Schizosaccharomyces pombe: one gene and its partner. Each later gene encodes a partner of the first gene's protein in a complex. Each region holds a gene or a part of one and is shown on either strand. Other genes may lie near its edges.

Region 1 (4,910 bases):
AACGTTTCAGCTAAGCATGATAAAGAAAGTGAGAATGGTAAAAGCAAATTTCCCCCTCCTTCCCAGACCCTTGTTACTACATCGACGATATCTGCAGCGGGAAATGAACCTTCTGATGAGATTGGTTCTGAAAATGATTCAGATTCGGATTCAGACTCGGACTCCTCTGTTCCTTTAAGTCAACTACAGAAGAAATCACAACAACGAAATTCTGTATCTCACGAGATACAGAATAGAGGAACCAAAGGATCCCCGAAGGAACCTAAAGCTAAGCCTTCTACGGAAAGACCGGAGACTCATAGGACATTGTCTTACTCACGTCTTTCAGAATTGTCTAAAACGTTTTCTCCTGAAATTAGAGAACCTTCTCTTACGAAGAAGACCGCGGTCAGTATGCAGGAATCAAAAGAAGAAGGGCGTTCTGATGAATCTTCTGAAAGTGAAGAGTCAGGGAGTTCTTCAGATGAAAGCGACAATTCGGAGAAGGAAGATAGATCCAATCCTATTCCCGTTGAGAAAAGAGCAAGTACTGTACTAAATACAAAGAAAAAGAGGAAAGCCAAAAGAAACAGTGCTTTGGCTGGCTTGGCGGCCCTAGTGTAAATTTCTTGTTTTTGATTAACTCCCTTTACGCTCGTTTTTTTTTTTTTTTTCATCATAAGTCCAATAGCAAAAGAATTCTGTAATAGCGTTGTTGTGCTATCATATTGCGTATATAATAAATTTAGTTTTCTTGGCTTTCTGCATAATTTTGACTTATTAATAAAATTACATGTTAATTAGCTAGCAAAACTTGATTTAACTTTGATGCTGATAAAAAGATGTTGAAATTCTAAATGGAACGTTCTTTAATGTCCATTAAGTTGCTTCATTTCAAATCCTTTTTTGATGACTGATTGTAAAATTAAAACTGCTAGTTGTAGGAAACAGGAGACCAGACAATGACAGTAATTAGTATATTAGTAAAATTTTCCGGACTAAAATTCGTAAAAAAAAAGAACAAATTAGATTACAATATTCAAATATTTTCACGAGCTTTAGTATTTATATTATTATAGGCAGTACCTAAATTCACAAAAAATGCCATTATTTGTTGTATAGTAATTACTTTACCCTCGACATTACTCATAATGGTTCAATAGTGTTAACAAAAACTGATATTAGTAAAATCTTTCTATTCTTTAGTATGTTTATAACGAAGACCAGCTAAACATGAATTTCTTGATCCGGGCAAACTAACTGCGTATAGTTGATATTATGCAAAGTGAACGAACTTATTTATTTGTAGTAAAATAATAGCTCTATAAAAGTAAGATGATCGAAAAGAAACTTATCACACTCTTACTATAAAGTGCTTTAGCAATACGATAAATTGGGTGAATTTTCCCTTTACACAAACATATACATACGGTCTCATAAATCTCAGCGCTGATACACTATGCTATGTTATTCAACGTTGAGTAACTTTGTATGCCATAAGTTGAAGTGAAATCAGATTATTAATAACTGCGTATACCCGTCTATCTATTTAACACAAAAACCGTTGATATAAATTATTATAAAAATGATAAATGGAAGCTACAACTGAACTGAGGAGCGAGGCTCATATAATAATATTTTAGTGACAGAAAACGACGTAACCTGAATATAAGAATATCTATTACAAATTGCTATATATATCATATGCGTACTATATAATTTAATAAATCACAAGGAAGACTCATCGCAACTCTACCTGTCGTTAAAACAGATGCCTAGCTGCGTACCTGAAGATTTGTTTATTTACCGTAAAATGTAATAAACATAAATACTTTAATATATCACTACTGTATTGCTTAAGATTATAACTTACTTGAGTAGCTAACAACTAAATCGTCGAACATTGATTCACTTGGAGTAATTGTAGAAGTTTTGATAGTTATTTTAAATTACAAGACCTTTACAAACTTATCAAAAATCAATTAGTCCCTTGCCGCAAAGATTTATCTCAAAAGTACGGAAAAACACAAATATAGCGAAATTTAACGTAAAATAGTATAAGAAAATTTAGCGCTGTGAGATAATACTACCATCTAACACCATTTACGCAGTGCAGAGAGCTAAGCTAGTCTGTATGAAGGATTTTGGATTTTGCAAAATTCTTCCAACACCCTCTTTCTGCAAAAAGCCATCAAATTGAAGAAATGGCGAGGGTAAAACAGAAAGGTATGTAGCTTGTAAAAAAATTTTCTAATTGAAAACAGGGAAAGCAGGTGCAGCTCGTATCTACATTACGAGAAATCAAGCGCTTAAGAAGCTTCAGCTCACTCTTGCTGATTTTCGTCGTATTTGTATTTTAAAGGGTGTTTATCCTCGTGAGCCAAAAAATAAGAAAAAAGCAAATAAAGGCTCCACTGCTCCAGTCACTTTCTGTAAGTCTAATAGCATCAATTTTTACCGGAATCATAGCTATCTGAACATGGACGTTTGGTATAAAAAGCATTTTCCGAATGGTCAATTTTATCATGGGCTAGTCTTTTTTTGATGAACTAAAAGAATGAAATTATGTACTAATAAATATAATAGATTATACTAAGGATATCCAGTATTTGTTACATGAGCCTATTGTACAGAAGTTTCGCGAGTACAAAGTGTTCGCTCGCAAGCTTAGCAAAGCATTGGGAAAAGGGGAATTAGAAACTGCTAAACGTTTAGAGGCCAGAAAACCCACTTATTCTTTGGATCATATCATTAAAGAGCGTTACCCAACCTTCCATGATGCCTTGAAAGATATTGATGATGCTCTTAGTATGCTGTTCTTATTTTCAACTATGCCTGTTACCGACAAGATTGGTGCCGCTACTGTCGCTAATTGTGAAAGATTATGTGCTGAATTTCAACACTATGTAATTCGGTCAAATTCCCTTCGTAAAGCTTTCCTCTCTATTAAAGGAATTTATTATCAGGCCGAGATTTTTGGTGAGCAAATCACCTGGATTGTTCCCTACAAATTTGCTCAATCTGTTCCTACCGATGTTGATTTTCGTATCATGCACACTTTTTTGGAATTTTATCAAGCACTTATGGGGTTTGTAAATTTCAAGTTATATAATACCTTGGGACTTCGTTATCCCCCTAAGATTGATGTTGCTAAAAGCGAATCTGCCGCTGGTTTAGCAGCTTATGAGTTAGAGGAGTCTTCTTCCTTACCCGCTATCGTCCATGGTAATAACAAAAATGCTCGTAAGAATATTGCTACTTTAAAAAGTAAAATAAGAGATATTGTGAATAGTGATGCGAACGTCGTTGAGCAGTCGGAAAAAACTACTGAGGATGCTGATGAGGAACCTGAAACGGAGGAAAACTTAGATGAGTTTAAACCAGCTGATGGTGCAGATAATGAGGATTCCAAAAGCCTAGTATCACATATTTCATCATCTAATACCTCGTTGTTTTCTAATTTTACTTTTTTCCTTTCTCGTGAAGTCCCCCGTTTTTCTCTGGAATTTGTGATTCGTGCCTTTGGTGGTAAAGTTGGATGGGATCCAATTCTCGGATCAGGTTCTCCATTTTCAGAATCTGATCCTGTGATTACTCATCATATATGTGATCGTCCTCATATTTCACAGAAGTACGAAGGTAGGATATATATTCAACCACAATGGGTATACGACTCTATCAACAAAGGAATCTTGGAAAGGACAGACTTGTATGCCTGTGGCGCTACGCTCCCTCCTCATCTTAGTCCATTTGTTAAAGTAGGTGAAAATGACTACGATCCTGAAGCTGAACTTTCTGCTGAAGAGAACGACGATGTTTCCGAAGCTCTTGATGATAATATTTCTGGCGAAGCAGTGCCCATAAGTAAGAAGAATGACGAGCCTGAAAATGTTGAACAAATTGATGACGCTGAAGAGGAAGACTTAGAACATCAACGAGAGCTGGAGGCAGAAGCAGGCGGTGTCGCTTATTCTGAATATGTTAAACAGAATTCTAAGTCCGCGAAAAAGACTAAGAAGCGTCAACGTGATACTTTGACTGCAGAAGAAAAAGAAGAAAAAGAGGCAAAGGAGTTATCCAAAATGATGATGAGTAATAAACAGAGAAAGCTTTACAGTAAGTTGAAAAACGAAAATAGCAAAAACGAAAACTACAACAATGCGCTTCGCAATCGGAAGAGGGATATTGAAAAGAGGAAAAAATTAAAGGTTGAAAACTAGGTTTAATAAACAGTAATCATAGTAATAGATTATTTTGGGTCATTTACTTTTTGTTTCTTAAAATGAGTTCATTGTATTTTACTGTATCCATGGATTAGGTTCGTGTTCAATTTAATTGAAGCTGATCGTTTTTATATAATAAATACACTTTTGCTTAACATTTTTTCGACTGGGAGATAAAGAAGATGAATATCAATTTTTGAGATATATTATAAAATATTAATTTTATGTAGTCAATATTTATTTATAAACGTACAAATAATAATAATGAGTAAAATAAAACTCACGGTAATTTTAAAATAGAGAATGTAAAATATTTAAAGACAAAAAGAACAAAAAAATGAAGGCAAGACAACACTTTTTTTTTATTTTTTAAATTGACTTTCAAGGTTACAGTACGTTTAAGCACTGTAAAGCCAAGGCTTTTCAACCAACATCGAGGCCTGTGACGGAACTTCATGTAAAGCTAAGGGTTCAAGCAATTCTTTATGAATAACGTTAAGAGCCTTTACAGCCATTTTCTCGTCAATAACGCATGAAATGTTGATTTCACTAGCACCTTGACTAATCATCTCAATGTTGATTTGGGCTTCAGCAAGTTTGCAAAACATACGACCAGCGTAACCGGTAGTGTTTCTCATGTGCTTACCAACAAGAGATAGAATAGCTAAACCATGGAGAATATCAAGCGTTCCCAATCGACGCAATTCA
Region 2 (4,442 bases), on another chromosome or scaffold:
GATTAAAAAACCGACAAACCCTTCCTCTTAAAGTATTGTATACCCATAACTTCTAAGACTCGTTTATTATATTCCGCAAGTTAGAAAAATAGCAAAAGAAGTCACTTCCTAACCTTTAATACCTAAAATCTCCCTTAAAGCAACTGGGTCGCTTACTGCTGCTCGCTTTTGTGCCAAAAATTTTCTTCTGGTATGGAAATGAATGCTAGCGGGTCGGTTGCCTTCTTTGACCTTCTCGACAGAGGAAGTGGACTCTGGTTTATCCTTTAATTTTATTTTCTTTTTCTTTTTCTCTTCTTTGTCGCTTGAGCCTGATTTTCTCTTTTTTGAAGAACTTTCCTTATCCTTTTTCTTGTGCTCTTTTTTCTTCTTCTTCGTTATTTTTTCCAACTTTTTAGGATCAAGAGCCGAACCAGTAGAGGTCTTTTTCTTACTTTTCTTCTTAGAAGAGTGCTTCTTTCTTTTTTCACGCTTAGCTTCATCGGATGAAGACGCATCTTCACATACACGATCCTCATCCTCCTCTGCTTTTTGCATCCATTCAGAAAATTCACTAGTAAACGTCCCACCCAAAACAAATCGTCTGGATAGCTCAAGTGATTTTAAACCCTTCTCATTCGCACTCTGTCTCTCGTATGTTAGTTGCTGCACCTTTGCTTTCTCAGCATAGACACCATACGCAGACTCATCGCCGTTAAGTCGACCAAAAATAGCGTTGAATTCACCTAAACCGCTCCATTCAAGATCGTTAGTTGCTTTGGCTCCAATTCCCAGTGTATCATCTTTTAGGCTGACCTTGATGTTATGAATGCGACCATGTTGCTTTTCACCCAAGCCATTACCATTCACCCAACCGTAGGAGGATAAAAGCTTAAATCCCAATCTATTTGTATCTTTTGCCCATTTAGAATTCCGAGGATCCACACCAATCTGTTGTTTCTTTTTTACACCAGCCAAACCCATGATGTCCTGTTAATCTTCAATAAAATTTTTTTTTTATCGACGATCAATATGTGAGAGGACAAAAAAGAATGAGAATAAATTATAAGAAGTAATCAATTGTAAGAAATAATTAAAATTGCGAACAGCGCAAAGTAATATACATAAAAATATGTAGCAGCCTGAGTCCTAAAATCCCACCAAATCCTAGAACCGATGAATTCTTTCCCAAAATAAAACCTTTTTCGAGGATAGAATCAATTGAGTCTCCTCTTCTTTTATAAAAATATAAACACACGATAAATCAACGATCTAAACAAAGTCTTCTCGCTAATTGAGAAACTCTCCAAAATTTCTCGAGTATTGCACTCAAATTGGTGAAAAAGGATAAATTGATAGATCTTTATTAAGTTTTAAAAAAGAAAAGTACTGGTTCTTGGAATTTCTTGAAAAGTGGTGGGCTCAAGAAGGGAATATATGCAGTTGGTAAACCGGCTATGTGTTAAAAGCGCTATAGATGCTTTCAAAGGCATAATTGAAATCTTCTTTCAAATAACGTGAAAGCATTCCAAAAAATTACAATGTTATAATGAGCTGTAAATAATACCGGTCAAATCATCATTTAAGTCGTTTTAAAAGAAGTATTTCAAAAGACGTTAAATCTTACAATTCGAGCATACTCTGGAAAAAAATAAGCTTTAAAAAAGTTTATCCTTTTACTTTTAAAGCATACTTTAAATCTTCTAATATTATTTTTGTTATTCTTAGATTTTGTTCAACTGTTACTTTTCTACTCAAAAAAAAAAGCTGAATTAGGACCGCTATCGATGAATACGAATTGGGTTGATTAAACTTGAAAATTCTTAAAAAACAGTCTCGTAACATCTTGATCAATTCAGCCAAAAGTCATTATCCTCATTTTTTTGGTACTGGAAATTTTGATCTTTTCGACACTCCTTCCACCAACAACAGAATGGATGCCCAAAGCGCTCCTTCAGGCCAAGTTCAAGTCCGTTTTACTACTAGAAATGAGGATTTAGCTGTTGGTGACACGCCGATTTTTGTTCCTACATCTTTAAAGCGGTACGGCTTATCTCAAATTGTAAATCATCTTCTAAAAACAGGTATGTTTTCAGTTAACACATACTGGGTCAAAGCAGGAGAAAAGTCGCATAATTCAACCAACTTGAAGAAAATTTGAAGCAATAGAATAGCTGGTCTCATGCAAGGCCCAATTACTATAAAACTGTGTAGAAGCTGAAATTTGTTGGCGAGAATCAAATGGGGGCTTCTCGAATCTAAGAGTTACTCTAGTGTTCTTTTTCACGCCTTTCTTAAAATTTTGTAAAATTCTTGAAGATGCATTACTAAAAGCCCTTTTTTTATTTTTTTGTCTCTTTTACCTTTCATCCTCGTTTTGCTTCATTGCTATACAATTTTGCGATTTTTTAGTTAATTTAATTTATTTCCTTACTAACTTTACTAGAAAAGCCAACACCCTTTGATTTTTTGGTTCAGGGTCAGCTGTTAAAAACTACTCTCGATGAGTACATAGTTCAAAACGGATTGTCTACGGAGTCGATTCTTGATATTGAATATATCCAATCTACATTACCACCTGCATATTTAGCTTCTTTCTCTCATGACGATTGGATTTCTGGTATTCAACTAACCTCAGATACCATTCTTACTTCTTCATACGATGGGATAGCTCGTGTTTGGGATAAAAGTGGTGAAATAAAATTTCAATCAACTGGATGTGGATCATCTTTAAAAAGTGCATCCTGGCATATACCTAATCAAAGTTTTCTCACTGCTTCACTTGATCAAAAAATTTTTCATTGGGTGATCGAAGAGCCAGAATCAATGTTGGATGCTGAAAAGAAAAGCTCCGGTATCCTTCAAACTCTTTTCGTAGGGCACAAGGATATAGTTGAGCGCGTACGATCCTTAGAATCTTCAAGCGTTTTTATTTCTGCTTCTGCGGATAATACTGTCGGAATTTGGGATTTTGAAAGGTCTCCTGAGACTACCCTCGAGTCCTTTTCCTCGTCTATATCTAAAAAGAGACGTCGCAAAAATGCAGAATTCACACCTCAAGCTGGGGCTCGCTCTCCGCTGATCCTTTGTGAGGGGCATACTGGACCGGTGATGGATATCGTCTTTTCTGATGATCCAAGTGTTGCATATTCCGTAGGCCAAGATCACACAATTAAGACTTGGGATCTCATTACTGGGCAAAATGTTGATTCCAAGATAACCAAAGCTCCTCTTTTATGCGTGGAAAAACTTACTGACCTACACTTAGTCATTTGTGGTTCCTCTGCGCGACACATTGTTGTTCACGACCCTCGAGCGGGAAGCGACAAAATTGTGAGTCATACTTTATCCGGCCACAAGAATTTAGTTTCCGGATTATCGGCAAGCCCAGAAAATCCCTATATGTTTGCATCCGTCTCTCACGATAACACTTGTCGTGTTTGGGATGTCCGTGCTACATCCGGCAGTATTTACACAATTTCTAGAGCAGAAAAAACAGGCTCTCAGTGGGATAAACTTTTCGCTGTTGATTGGAATAAATCCATTGGTATTGTTACGGGAGGTACTGACAAACAACTTCAAATCAATCAATCCTCATCCTTTGGAAAAAGCGAATGAAAAAAGATGTAGCATAAAAAAAATTGACAGATTATGATTTAGTGTGGTACAAGCGGGATAAGTTAAGGAACAAGGTCATTACTACTAGAGATTAAAAGTTTGATTAAATTATTTAAGAGAACACTTTATTAAAGCAAAATAAGTTAATAATTCAAATTATACACACCACGTAGCTTAGTAATCGTGTAATAAACTTAAGCTTCAGAGCAAGTCTGTGAAATGTTTTGAAGAGTCTGAAAAACTGGTTTCTTCCGGCTCCTCTTCCTCTTTGACTGAGCTTTGATTAAACATCAGAGAGGAAGATGATTGCGGGTTTTTTCTACCAGAACCAACTGTAAAAATTGCAGTAGCATTTATACGAGTGTTAAATGGCTCTCCGGAAGGAAAATGGAAACTTTTGTGCAATCGTTCAAAAGGAGAATGAAAAGGTGTTTGCCTTTGAACGGTCGAACTGGAAGGTTTAGATGAAATAATAGAAATTAAAGAATTTGAAGATGCAGAAGAGACGTTTGAATAGGATCTAGTACGGGATGAATTCCTCGAAGAAGCAACGGAAGAACGCCCAGACAAGCTGCGTATGGGAGTTCGTGATCGTCGAGTCGGCTGGGGAGATATGACAGTATTTTGCAGAGGAGAAGGTGGAATATCAATATTAATTGAGAGGTTCGAACTTTTAGAAGGGCTATTTTGAGAGTTCGAGGGGAAGGTAAAGTCTTTATTACCGTCGAGGTTTACCGTTTTTAAAAGAGGAGGAGTGAATGGTGTGTTTTGCTCACCTGTATCAACGTGCGTTGTTTGAGGAAGATTTGAGTGTCTTCTTCCAAAACTGTTAATCGAAGGAAACA

What was found.
Region 2: ppp1 (region 1) and ytm1 share a complex: the UniProt entries of both Schizosaccharomyces pombe proteins name them as parts of the NOP7 complex.

Annotation. Positions count from the first base shown.
Region 1 is NC_003423.3:3,710,893-3,715,802, reverse strand, and holds ppp1 (pescadillo-family ribosome biogenesis protein), read left to right. Parts: upstream 1-2,145; 5' UTR 2,146-2,183; coding exon 2,184-2,205; intron 2,206-2,217; exon of another isoform or gene 2,218-2,243; coding exon 2,244-2,411; exon of another isoform or gene 2,412-2,565; coding exon 2,566-4,199; 3' UTR 4,200-4,384; downstream 4,385-4,910. Other genes in the region: nucleolar protein Dnt1, read left to right, coding at 1-603; hom3 (aspartate kinase), read right to left, coding at 4,601-4,910. UniProt on the Schizosaccharomyces pombe protein: Component of the NOP7 complex, which is required for maturation of the 25S and 5.8S ribosomal RNAs and formation of the 60S ribosome.
Region 2 is NC_003424.3:5,006,328-5,010,769, reverse strand, and holds ytm1 (ribosome biogenesis protein Ytm1), read left to right. Parts: upstream 1-1,891; 5' UTR 1,892-1,912; coding exon 1,913-2,063; exon of another isoform or gene 2,064-2,171; intron 2,172-2,344; exon of another isoform or gene 2,345-2,425; coding exon 2,426-3,597; 3' UTR 3,598-3,754; downstream 3,755-4,442. Other genes in the region: pxr1 (PINX1 family ribosome biogenesis protein), read right to left, coding at 109-963; serine/threonine protein kinase Ppk16, read right to left, coding at 3,799-4,442. UniProt on the Schizosaccharomyces pombe protein: Component of the NOP7 complex, which is required for maturation of the 25S and 5.8S ribosomal RNAs and formation of the 60S ribosome.